Linked DNA regions of Saccharomyces cerevisiae S288C. The protein of the gene in region 4 purifies or fractionates together with the protein of the main gene of each other region. This does not show direct contact. Each region holds a gene or a part of one and is shown on either strand. Other genes may lie near its edges.

Region 1 (2,766 bases), on a different chromosome or scaffold from region 4:
ATATTTAATTGTTAAACAAGGATACTTATCAAAAATAGTTACAATATTAGAATATAACCATTTCTTTTGTGAATTTACTAATATAATTGTTTTAAGTAGTTCTTCAAAATTAGAAGGTATATTTAATATATTTCTAATCTTTTCTAAACATGCTTTATCATCAATATGTATTCTAAAACCATAAAAAAATCTTAAATATTTTTTATCATTTAATTTAATATAAAAACTACCATCTCCATCTGTAAATCCTACTAATCATTTATAAAAATTATCTATTTCTAAATTATTCTTATTATTATTTTTATTATCTTTTTGAACAATAATTAATTTATTATTTAAAGAAGTATGATAACCTCTTTTAATAATATTTATATTTTTAATATAAGGTGATTGAATAGAATATAAATCTATATCTTTATTATATTTAAGAATATTATTATAATTATTATTATTATTATTATTTTTAATAATTAAAAATATTAATAATAAGTAAATATTAATTATTGTTCATTTAATCATTCCAAAAATTTAGGTAATGATACTGCTTCGATCTTAATTGGCATATTTGCATGACCTGTCCCACACAACTCAGAACATGCTCCATAGAAGACACCTTCTCTTTGAATTAAAGCAGAAACTTGATTTAATCTACCAGGAGTAGCATCAACTTTAATACCTAAACTTGGAATAGCAAAATCATGAATAACATCAGCAGCTGTTACAACGAATCTAATATGTGTATCTACAGGTACAACTATAGAAGTATCAGTATCTAATAATCTTAATTGACCTTCTTCTAATAATTCATCAGGAATAACATATGATTCAAATTCAACAGTTTCACCACTATCATTAATAAAATCTGAATATTCATATTTTCAATATCATTGATATCCAATAGCTTTAATAGTTATAGCTGGTGAAATAACTTCATCACATAAATATAATAAAATAAATGAAGGAAAAGCAATAATTAATAAAATTACAGCTGGAAAAATTGTTCAAATAACTTCAATAGTTTGTCCATGTTTAATATATTTATATGCAATAGGATTTTTTGAATATGTTATAACAATTGTATATAACATTCAAGATACTAAACCTAAAATAACTAATAAATAAAACATAATATTATCATGTAATTCTAAAATACCTTCTTGATTTGGTGTTGCTGAATCCTGAAAATAACATGCATAAGGTGTTGGTACATCATTCATAATGAATGTTGTTAATTGTAATCTTAATAAATCTAACATTTTAATAAATCTTAACCTTTAGACTCTTTTGTCTATTTATAATATGTTAATACTACTTTTAATTAAAATTTATTTATAATTTATTATTATATATTATAAATTAAAATAAAAAATATTATATTATATTATCAACCCCACCTTTTTTTATTAAAAATAATTAAAATTATATATTATTTTTATAAATAATATATATAATATTATTAATCATATAAATATATATTTTATTAAAAAAAAAAAAATACTAAAACTCCTTCGGTCCTCCTCCCGTTAGGGAGGGGTCCCTCACTCCTTACGGGATTCCCGCTTCCCAAAAACTAATAATATTCATATCATATATATTAATATTTATTAAAATATATAATATTTAGATTATATATAATATATATAATTTTTATTATTATAATATATTAGTGATTACCTTATTTATAAAGGTATGAAGCAAGGAGTTATTATTTATTATTATTATTATTATTATTATTATTAATATAATATATATATAATATATTATTAATTTTTATTTATACTCCTTCGGGGTCCCCGCCGGGGCGGGGACTTATATTTATATTATTAATATAATATATATTTAAAAATAAAATAGTCCGCCCCGCGGAGGGGGGCGGGACCCCGAAGGAGTCCGCCCCCCTTTTTATTTTATTTTATTTAATTTTAAAGAAGAAGAATTATTTATATTTATTTATTTATTTATCTCCTTCGGGGTTCCGGCTCCCGTGGCCGGCCCCCGGAACTGTAATAATATATTAATTTAATTAATATTTTTTATAGATAAATATACATTATATGTTTTTATTAATTAATTATTTATTTATTTATTTATAATATATATTTAAATATTATATTATATATATATATTTAAAAGATAAATTATATTTATAATTATTTAATGAACATCTATTTAATAATAATAAAATAGTCCGGCCCGCCCCCGCGGGGCGGACCCCGAAGGAGTCCGGCCGAAGGAGATGTGAATCCTGCTAGGAGGAGTAATTATTTATTAATATTATTTTAATATATATAAATATTATAATCATTATTACTTGTAGAAGGAATTGAACCTTACATTATTTATTTATGAGACAAATGTTTTAACCAATTAAACTATACAAGCTCCTTAATTATAATTATTATTATAATTAATACAATATTTACTCTTTATTATCAATATTTATACCTTATTTTATAAATATAAATAAAAGATATTAATTATTAAAATATTAATAAATATATTCTTTAATAATTTATAATTATAATATAATAATTATAATAATAATAATTTTTAATAAAAAATAAAATAATTATAAAATTATAATCTTATTATATAAAATATATAATATATTTATAATTATTAATAAAAAAGATAATTATATAATTAAAATTAATATATATATATATATATATATAAAGGTATTATTAATTAATTAAAAATATTAATATATTTGTTAATTAAATAAATAAATAAATATAAATATTATCTAATTATAAATTTATTCTT
Region 2 (3,175 bases), on a different chromosome or scaffold from region 4:
CCTCGTCGTCCACTGTTATAGATTGTCTTTTGCCCGCATCGGCAGCGTTGAGCTTTTGGATGCGGAGAAATTGTTCGTTCTCCAGTAGATCCTTCTTCTTGTCCATGGTTGTGTTTGTTATTGTTGCTTTTGCTAACGTAATGTGTCTGTTTACTTCTTGTCTAGGTGGCAATACCAGAATTAATAGCGGCTAATTTTCGTCCCCTCTTATAGATTCCGGGAAAAAAGAAGGCTTAATAATATTACAAAGAAACTGTTGGAATTTTTCCGGTTATTGCGCGAGAAGCCGTTAAATGTTAACTCCGCGGGACCGACAAGAGCGATATAAAGTTTAGCATTCACGTGTAACTGCAATGAATAGTTTTAGTTGTTTTCAAAAAATTTCAGTATGTTTTTGTATTGGTTTATCTATATATTCGAATATATAGATGTATTGATGAAAGGAATTTTATAAAAGACGAGGAGCGGAAATAAAGTTGAGGCAGATAAACCGACGAGGTTTACGACTTGAAGATCTTGGAGTTTATTCTTTCTTCGTTAGAAACGTAGCCGGTCCTTCTTCCCTCTTTCTCGAGTCTCTCTTCCTCTTCGGCGACCCTCAGTGCGTTTTCCCAGCGGCGCATTTCGTTGACCTTTTGTTTGTTAGGATGTAACTTATTCTCGTACATGCTCAAACCAACGGAGGCCAGCAGCAGCCCGACGGTAATGAATTGAGCGTACATTCTTGCCTGCACGATCTTCTGAGCTTTGGTCATGATGGGGTCTTTGTTCACGATTACCCACGACCCATACAGCGAAGCGGCCCAGGCACCGGTGATGATCTTATACTTGTTATTAGATAGACCTTCGACAAACTTGTCCTTTGTACTCAAACTCTTCCATCTTCTGTGCTCATCTAGTGCGTCTTCCGAGGAGGAACCGGATCCGTACATTGTAGCGTCGAAATTGTTCGAGGCCTCCTCCGCACATATAGCAGTCAAGACCGTGGGAGGGGTGATCCAAAGGGCGGTTTTTATGGACCATGTTAGAGTCGAAGGCTTGAATTTTGGGTACCTTCTTGGTAGGACTTTGAAAATTATAGCAGAGATTGCAAATCCGGCAAGGGCACCTTCAATACCACCTTTTAGCGTATGTGAGCGATGAGCTTCAATTTCGTCTTGGGTTAAAATCTTCATTGTGCGATGTTGGTGAGTATCGGTGCACTTGTCAAGAGTTTTTTCAAGCTAAAGACGTAGTAAAGAGTGTTTATATAATAGAACATTCTTTCCAGGTTAAACGACAAAAAACAAAAGATGGTTAGGTTAAAAGGGAAATAAGAAAGAGCATTCTTTTCTTTTTTTTGTATATTTTACCATTGTTTGGTTGTAGGAAGCAAGGGTTGAGGCCTAGACGGCGCAGTTTTTTGCGGGTTCTTTGCTGCTGTTATCTCGGTCAGGTGTTGATCGTTAGCAGCTATTTAGCGTGAGGTGTACAGAGGCCGCAGGGCTTTGTGCTGCTTCCAAGCAGGTCTTGCCGGGCGAATCGGTGGGCCGGGACGGCTCTGACAGTTTCGGGAAATACCCGAGAGTGAGCGGTTTGTTTTACTTTAATTGGCCATCGAAAACAATAGCTTAACAGTACAAAAGGCAAATAACATACAAGTAGTTGTATATATGTACATATCTACACATACATGCGCTCTTTCCATCTTTTTTTTTTGTTTTTTTAGATCTTTTCTCCGGGTTTCTACTTTCATTGGTTTGTTTTCTGCGTTACGTACTATTATTTTTCAAATGCTATATACAAGCGCCATCAGTGCATGGGGGAAAAGCGAAGAGGGAGAGAGAGAGAGAAAGAGAGAGAGAGAGTAGGTTCTTGTGTTGCTCATTTTTCAAGTAGTCTTTTCTTGACACTACACCAGACGGCGCACGCAGCGGCCACCATTGCCGAGGAATAACCCATGGGTTTCAAACCTTTTGAAGACTTGAACAAAGCGCCCGTGAGGGCCCCAGCGCCAATGGAGCCCGCGGTGTCATGTTTGCCTCTTAGTGCATCTATTGTAGAATTGATGATATTGTAGCTCAACGCGAGAATCCCCGCATTATTACCTAAGAAGGGACCTCTCTTAGTAATGTGATTCAGGACGGTGTTCAATTGCAATTTTCCGGGACTATTGGGCGGAATATTCTGCAGACCCTGCATCATACCAGAAAACCCTCCGATACCAAGTCCCAGCAGGTAGACGGCACCGGTACCGTAACATAGGTCATCGGTCCACCCACGGGAAGGGATCAGACCCTGTGAGCCTTCTAACGAGGATAGTTGTTCTTCTTCCAGATCTAAATACTCCACACCCTTGTCTAGACCAGCCAAAGGATGCAGCCTAGCGGTGTCGACATGCATTCCACCAGGACCTGATATTATGTTATTGATGTTTGGCTCGAAACCTAAACTCTGCTTCAACGATAGTTCCTTAGGCTTGGTTGTATCTTGGCCGCCCACGGCAGCATTCGCATCATCGGTAGGTGTCTTATCTCCAAAAAGCCACGACATGATTGTGTGTGATCTGTTAAACAAGTATACCTATATTATCTTGGTTATTTTTTTTTTTTCTATCTGCTTTTGTTAACGCTATAACGTGTAGTATGTACAGGCAAAGAGAGTAGAAGAGGAAAATGGTCTTTTTTTTTTTTTTTTCTGCAATGGAGGGCGAATGCAATAACCTATTATTTCTATTAATTAAACGCAACAAATGTTTCCCTTTTGCTCTACGTAAAGGTTCCTTTCTCTCTTTTTTTTGTCGGTGTCTTTTTTTTTTCAGTATTTTCTCTTTTTTTCAATGAATCGTCGATTTCCTTTTCTTCCTTTTGCGATTAAATTATTTTTACCCAGCTTTAGCAAGCCAGTTCGTACGCAGCGACTAGCAAACAGCCGGGTAACTCACATTTTGTTTGCACACTTAAAATACCCATACAGAACCATTATATATGTTGGGTTGAATTGGGACCTAATGTGCTGCTCAGGTGCCGCGTATATCATGACACTTATACTTGGTGGGGAATCGCCCGTCAGGCCTGAACGCAACGAACCCGCGCATGCATCGACGTCACAGTGAGCTCAGGCCGCATCACGGCCGTTACGCCCTCCAGAGTCACCACGACTGCGACTAGTATCATCCGTCAAGAAGAACAAGAAC
Region 3 (2,854 bases), on a different chromosome or scaffold from region 4:
TCGCTTGACCATATAGTAAATTTGCAGGGCGTCTGAGCTAGATATTCAGACATGTTGCGTATTTGGTGAAGGGTGTATATGACACTTTATATAGCCGCTTAAGATGGTACAATAAAGTGTTTATCTGAAGTACGTCACCTTGCAATTGAATATTTGGTGGATTCTCTCTGTTTCAATTTTTCTGAAAATTGTACCGATCGTTAGCTGGCAATTACCGTTACGTATGTGTCAAGCAAAAAAAAACCCACATATTAAAAATCAAGTAAATAGAGCGATTGATATAGCATTTACCTATCGATATAAATATGTTTTAAGTGATAGTTATACAAGATAAAAACAAAGAATATTCATATGTACGCTGTTATTTTGTAATTATTTTTCTTGAATACTGGACATAGCATCATGAATTTTTTTATTACATTTCTTCATTACAGTCGAAATTAGCTGTTCATTCTTTTGTCTCTCATCATAATTTATTTACAGCAAATCGAAGAGCCAAATTACTTCTTTCCAAGCTTATTTTCCAGGTCGCTTAGTTCCTTTTCTAAGTTCTTGATTTCCTCTTCGTTCTCAAGGGTCTTCATTCTTGCCAATTCGGCTCTTTTTCTCCTTGCCTCCGTTTCTTCCTCCCTTCTCTCCAGCTCTTGGATCCATAACTTTTCTCTCATCTTGGCTTTCTCCTTCAATTGTTCCTCCTTCGCCTTCAGTTCCTTACCAGAAGTCCCATAGATAAATGAACCTGCGACTAGTGCGACTAGTGTGGCCGCTTGTAGACCCACACGCCAACGGAAGTAGTACTGAGCTTTCCATTTATTACCAAGACGAACATTTTGAGCAGCCAGAATGACAGCTCCTGTAGTCAGCAAGCACCCAATGGGTACCAATGGCTGTTTCTTACAATGGTATATAATCCTTTCGCCAAAGGTCATATCATCCAAATCCCTCTCCGTAACATCGAAACTAGATGGCATGCGTGACATCTTGAACGTATAACTGTGATGTTATCGCTTCTAGTACCAGGAATTGAATTAATTCCGATAGGAAGCATTGCTTCCTCTTCTCTATACTTTTCTTTACTATTATTCTTGAAGCATAAAAGGGCCCTCCTTGATTCGCTACCCGGAAACGATAAAGGTAGCTTTTTGCTCTTTTTGCTCATATTAGGCCTCTACTAAAGCATTTGTGCGGTATTCCAATTTTTATTATTGTATTTATCTTACATGAAATGGGAGGAGGGGTGCTCCTCGGTTGAATTGTATTACGTAGCATTAGGGTTGCCTGAGGCGTACACTTCTAGAAACCAGTTCGCCAACTTGGCCACGTCTGCATCCAAATATACGTCGTTCAGAGCAACATTGTATTCAAGTACAATCTCCATAAAAGCACTGGTGGACAGCTGATAAAGAACACTGATCATGTCAGTAGTGTCTTTCATGCTATCTTCGTCTTCACTGTCTTGTTGTACTCTATCTTGGGCTGTCCTTTGTGTTTGGAAGGCAGTGTATGCCATCGATTCCGGATCCCAATCGGCAAATTCACCCAGTGCACAGATGGACCTCTCCAAAGTCTTAAGAATATCCCCAACGGATGCAATGATACCGCCTTTTGGATCTTCTGTCTTTGATCGGATCAGCAGTCCTGTCAGTGCTACCACACTATTTGCGTGGCATATGGGCAATGGAACCAGCTTCTCAGCTTGCCTTTTCTTGGAAATGGACCATATGTCAATTATCGAGATTTGGGCTTTGTTGGAGCCATTTGGTAATAGTCTGTAATTGTCGCTTTCATCAGATGATTGTCTTTCTGCGTAGGAAGGGAAAATAAACGACATTATAGAATTTTTCAGTTTTTTTAACATCAGACGCATAGCGGTCATAAATGTTGTTTCGTGGGTGAAAATAGAGCCGTTAAAAGTTTGTGTCGTTTCATCTAAATCGTTGTCGTAATACGAGGACCTATGCCTTTTCTTGTTTCCGCGGTTAAGCAATACACTATCGTCAGTTCTTACCCTCAGCCTGTTTGGTGATTCATCTAATAAGCCGTTATCCCGTAATGGCGCCATCATAGAGGGTCGGTTCCCAAAGAGTCTTTCGTTGGCGCTTGTTAGTTTCCCGTTCTCATACATATAATCTAGATTTTCTACTTTTTTTTTATGTCTAGCAGTTGCAGAGCCCCCAAGATCTTGTACTGATCTTAGGTACTGCACAACCTTTTCATTGTTTATCTGAATGGTCTTCAAGCATTCATTGAGGATTAATGACCAAGTATTACCACTACTGCTTCTGAACTTGGAGTGATATATTGGTGCTCGCAATGATGGATCCAGTGAAGTGGCCCTATACGCTAGTTCCTGGTAGGCAGTCAACCTAGTAAATGGCTTGTCTGCAGAAAGCCCACTAAGCAGGGTTTCCATCGGCGTCGACGACAAATTCGAAATTAGCTTGCCCTTGTGCAGACAACCTATGGACATATGTGCGTCAAATGCTATATTTATGAATTCGAAAGTGATGAAGATAATGCAGGAGATTATTAGTAAATTTGTGACAGCTAGCACGCCATTCGTAAATGAATCAAATAATCCCGATTTTTGCCTGGAAAAAAATACTGTGGTAAAGATTGGTAATACGAACATGCTGATTACACTTAGAATGACTGACTTCTCCATAATCCTCTTGACACGCTCTAATACGTAGTCTTGTGGGGCCTGGAAAAAGTTTTCGCAGTTGAACGACAATTTGTCAGCGTCAGTGACATGATGTTGTAGGTTGTAAATCGTGGGAACGACTAGCCAAATAAACAGCTTATAGTATGGCTTCCATCCAGATCCGCCACGTCCGAAAACCACACCCAGTAC
Region 4 (3,493 bases):
TAGTGAGTCCATCGATGAGCTCTTCACAAGAGGATAAGATGGTTGCGATTGCTGGTATTACCTACCGTGAGAATATTAGCAGTCCATTAGGCAAGAAGTCCAGATGATCGAGAGATGACTTCTCTACCAACAACTTCCCATTTGCATAATATCATTAAATATGTTTTACCAAAAAAAAGTTCATCTTTCTTATTTTTAAAATCGATAGTTCTTCAGGATCTTGGTCACATATATATATATATATATATATACACTTATATAAAATAAGACGTTTATTTAATCTTGTTTTCTTACGAGTTTCTTTTTTTTTCTTTTTTTATTTTCTACTTTTGCAAGGAACAGTGACCTTGCCAATAAATAATGAAGACTACTTGGGTTACTAGAATATAAAATACATGTAAAAAATTCATTTATGGTGTGAGTGTGCGAGCGTGCCTGTATACATCTAGCAGCTTGCTTATTTCTATTTTATGTGCATGGAAAATATATTATCACACATCTTACCATCTCATCATGGACATGTCACTTCTGATTCTCATGTAATCTAATAACCCTTCAATTTGGCCTGTACCAGCAATAGCAATATCTTGGTCCCATAATCTCTTACCGGCCCAAGCCTTAACATCTTTGACTGTGATTGCATCAATTTTCTTGAAAGCCTCACCCAGAGACAGTTTGGAGCCCTTGATTAGGACTTCTGCGCCTAACAAGTTAGCGTCATTGACGGGATTACCAGATTCGTATAACTGCCCTAATTGTAATTTCAACAGCGATTTGGCACGTTCAACTTCAGTATCAGTGACAGAAATGGTCAATCTGTTCCATTGTTTCAAAGTGAAATGGATGAGGTCGTCAATCATGGTAACGTTTCTCGTGGCCGTAGAGAACCCCCATAAACCGGAATCTTTGTAAGAAAGAGAGAAATGATTGAAATTGTCGCATAATTGGTACTCCTGTATGTTGTCTAACAATTTGATACCTTGTAATCTAGAAGCGGGTTCGAAGGCGTTGTATGAGCCGAAAATTTGGGCGGCTAATTTAGCAACAAAATAATTTGGTGAATTGACAGGTTCACCTTCCACAGCCAGCGAAATCCACGCCTTTGGCAAGGTGTCGTCTCTCAATCTAACTTCGGAACCCAAGAAAGCGGCCTTTTTCTTGAGTACGGGCTTGGTACCGGTTTGCAAACTTAGGTTTTTGGATTCGATGGAATTTACTAAATCCTCATGTTTGATATTACCGGTACCAACAACAACAGCATTTGAATTCAAGAAATGGTTATTGGCAAAAGATTCCAGATCAGCAACAACTAAATTCTCCAAGGACTCCAAAGTACCTCTAGTAGGCAAAGATAATGGAGTGTTTTGGAAGGCGGTGGAGTGTAAATGTTCCAAAACTCTGTTGGGATGGTCGTTTTCTTCAAAATCTTGAACTTGCTTCAAGACAGATTTCTTCGTGGCCTCGAAGTTAGAAGAAGATAGCAAATTAGCCTTTTGTTGGATGAAAGACTGATTCAAGAAGTCTAGTGATTTATCGGTAGAACCTGGCAAAGAAGATACAATGTAAGATTGGAAGTCTCTGGAGATATTGGAAGACAATGCCAAACCTTCCTTGGCGGCAACAGCAGAGTTTTCTTTGGATAGAAAGATGTTCTTCCATAAATTGGAAACCCCGTTGTTATAAGGGTTTTCGTTGGCAGCACCGGAGCCGAAGACAACACCGACAGAGGCTGTGTGAGCGGAAGGATTATGCTCAGTGGCTACAACTATACCGTTAGATAATTGCGTTACTTCGGCCTTGGGGGTTGCTACAGCTGTAGCCAAAGACCTCTTGAACTGGTTAGATACAGTCTTTGAAGTTACTGTTCTTAGCATTTTTTTTGTTTATATATCTTGTGTTTTCTTTCTCAGTGATATGGTGACGATGATGTTCTTCTCGTATTATTACTCCACAATTGTCTTGATCAGCAATGGTAGCAATTTAATATTAGGATTCGTTACCTATACGAACAGGGATGATATAATATTTTTTCTGTGAAAGCTATTGCTTTATTATACGCTGTTTTCCTCGAATAAGACGGGGAAAGAGAGTAGGGGAATATCGGTTAGGGAGCGCTGTAGGCCTTTAATTTTCTTGTTTGGTTTTTATTTGGTGCAGCTGACAGCGCGGGCCCTTGAACTTCTGGAGGACAAAAAACACTGTTAATTTATTGGCATTTCATTGGTGCAGAAAGCGTGCTGTCCGGGTCACAGTTAAAGTTCATATACATGTTACCCTACCCAGTCCGGGTTATGTAAATCGTGAAAAAGAATATCTGGTTTTAAAATCTCTCTTTTCTTTTTCCCCCTGGTGGGTATGGGTGAAATGCTAGAGAGGCAAAAAAAAAGGTTGCCAAGTAAAGCGAAGTATTTGAAGTATACTGCAAGCATCACCGAAACAGGAAATCACGAAGCTGACTCATCTGTGATTTTCCGTCCCCACCATAGTGATGTAACATGCAGTAACGCACGGCGGGCCGAAAGTCGGACTTTACCCCAGATTTGTAGTTGTATCCTATTGGATCACGGGCGACGGACAAGACCCGAAGTGCGGACCGGCATGGTCAGCTTGCACGGAAGCTTTAAGGGTTTCCCTTGTTTCGGCATTAGAAGAGGCATTTCGCACGTTTTACCGGGTCAGAAACTTCGAGGAAGCTGTGACAATTGGAAAAAAAGGCAAAACTAAATGCAATGTATCCGGTTGCCCATGCATTATTTGTGATGTTTTCGGATGTAGTTCGCTGCGCTCCGCGGCGATATATCCTCTAGCGAGAGGCATATGTATAAATATATATATATATATCTAACAAAAGCATTCAAGTTTCTTTCTCTGGTGTTACGTCTTTGTTCGACTTTCTCTGCTTACAGCCCTGTATGACCAAAGAAAAAATAAAAAGACAGCTACATACCAGCAGAAATTTTTTATAGTATTACACTATACATCCAAGTTTTTTCACAATTATTTATTGTTTTTCTCACATAGAAAATTCCGCATACTGCGATTATAATGAACTCTACAACCCCATCGATTCAAGATCAATATATTTTGGCCAGCAAAGTACGCTCCAAGCTGGCAAAATGCGTTAGCGTGACTACTAAAAACAAAGACTACAACCTGAGAGTTTTAGTCGGGCACGCAAACTTGCTGGATAAGATTACAGAAAATGTGGAAACTCATAATGCTGCAACCAACGCCCTTGCCGGAGACCCTTTCAGTAAAGGACCTGAAAACTTGTCCATCGAACATATCGAATTGTCCAATGCTAATGCTAGTAAAAATGACGTCGGTAAGGAGGAAAATGCAGAAAAGACGATAGAAAGTGAAGATTACTGTGATTTTTACTCTAGTGACGAAGATCCAGATGCTGACACTCTATCTTCTACTGACAGTGAAGACGATGATGATTATGAAGACTATGATTTTGAGTACGATTACTCTGGCGGTGATTATAACA

What was found.
Region 1: the proteins of COR1 (region 4) and COX2 purify together in Saccharomyces cerevisiae (affinity purification with western blotting; 8 studies listed by BioGRID, with this or other methods). This does not show direct contact.
Region 2: the proteins of COR1 (region 4) and RCF2 purify together in Saccharomyces cerevisiae (affinity purification with western blotting; 5 studies listed by BioGRID, with this or other methods). This does not show direct contact.
Region 3: the proteins of COR1 (region 4) and RCF1 purify together in Saccharomyces cerevisiae (affinity purification with western blotting; 4 studies listed by BioGRID, with this or other methods). This does not show direct contact.

Annotation. Positions count from the first base shown.
Region 1 is NC_001224.1:72,248-75,013, reverse strand, and holds COX2 (cytochrome c oxidase subunit 2), read right to left. Parts: upstream 1,257-2,766; coding exon 501-1,256; downstream 1-500. Other genes in the region: Q0255 (maturase-like protein), read right to left, coding at 1-519. UniProt on the Saccharomyces cerevisiae protein: Component of the cytochrome c oxidase, the last enzyme in the mitochondrial electron transport chain which drives oxidative phosphorylation.
Region 2 is NC_001146.8:662,270-665,444, reverse strand, and holds RCF2 (Rcf2p), read right to left. Parts: upstream 1,176-3,175; coding exon 501-1,175; downstream 1-500. Other genes in the region: ARE2 (sterol acyltransferase), read right to left, coding at 1-106; protein transporter TIM23, read right to left, coding at 1,864-2,532. UniProt on the Saccharomyces cerevisiae protein: Assembly factor that plays a role in the assembly of the respiratory chain supercomplexes (SCs) composed of ubiquinol-cytochrome c oxidoreductase (cytochrome b-c1 complex, complex III, CIII) and cytochrome c oxidase (complex IV, CIV).
Region 3 is NC_001145.3:214,561-217,414, reverse strand, and holds RCF1 (respiratory supercomplex assembly factor RCF1), read right to left. Parts: upstream 981-2,854; coding exon 501-980; downstream 1-500. Other genes in the region: USA1 (Usa1p), read right to left, coding at 1-53; NDC1 (Ndc1p), read right to left, coding at 1,259-2,854. UniProt on the Saccharomyces cerevisiae protein: Assembly factor that plays a role in the assembly of the respiratory chain supercomplexes (SCs) composed of ubiquinol-cytochrome c oxidoreductase (cytochrome b-c1 complex, complex III, CIII) and cytochrome c oxidase (complex IV, CIV).
Region 4 is NC_001134.8:133,643-137,135, forward strand, and holds COR1 (ubiquinol--cytochrome-c reductase subunit COR1), read right to left. Parts: upstream 1,875-3,493; coding exon 501-1,874; downstream 1-500. Other genes in the region: PSY4 (Psy4p), read left to right, coding at 1-107; YBL044W (uncharacterized protein), read left to right, coding at 2,356-2,724; ECM13 (Ecm13p), read left to right, coding at 3,046-3,493. UniProt on the Saccharomyces cerevisiae protein: Component of the ubiquinol-cytochrome c oxidoreductase, a multisubunit transmembrane complex that is part of the mitochondrial electron transport chain which drives oxidative phosphorylation.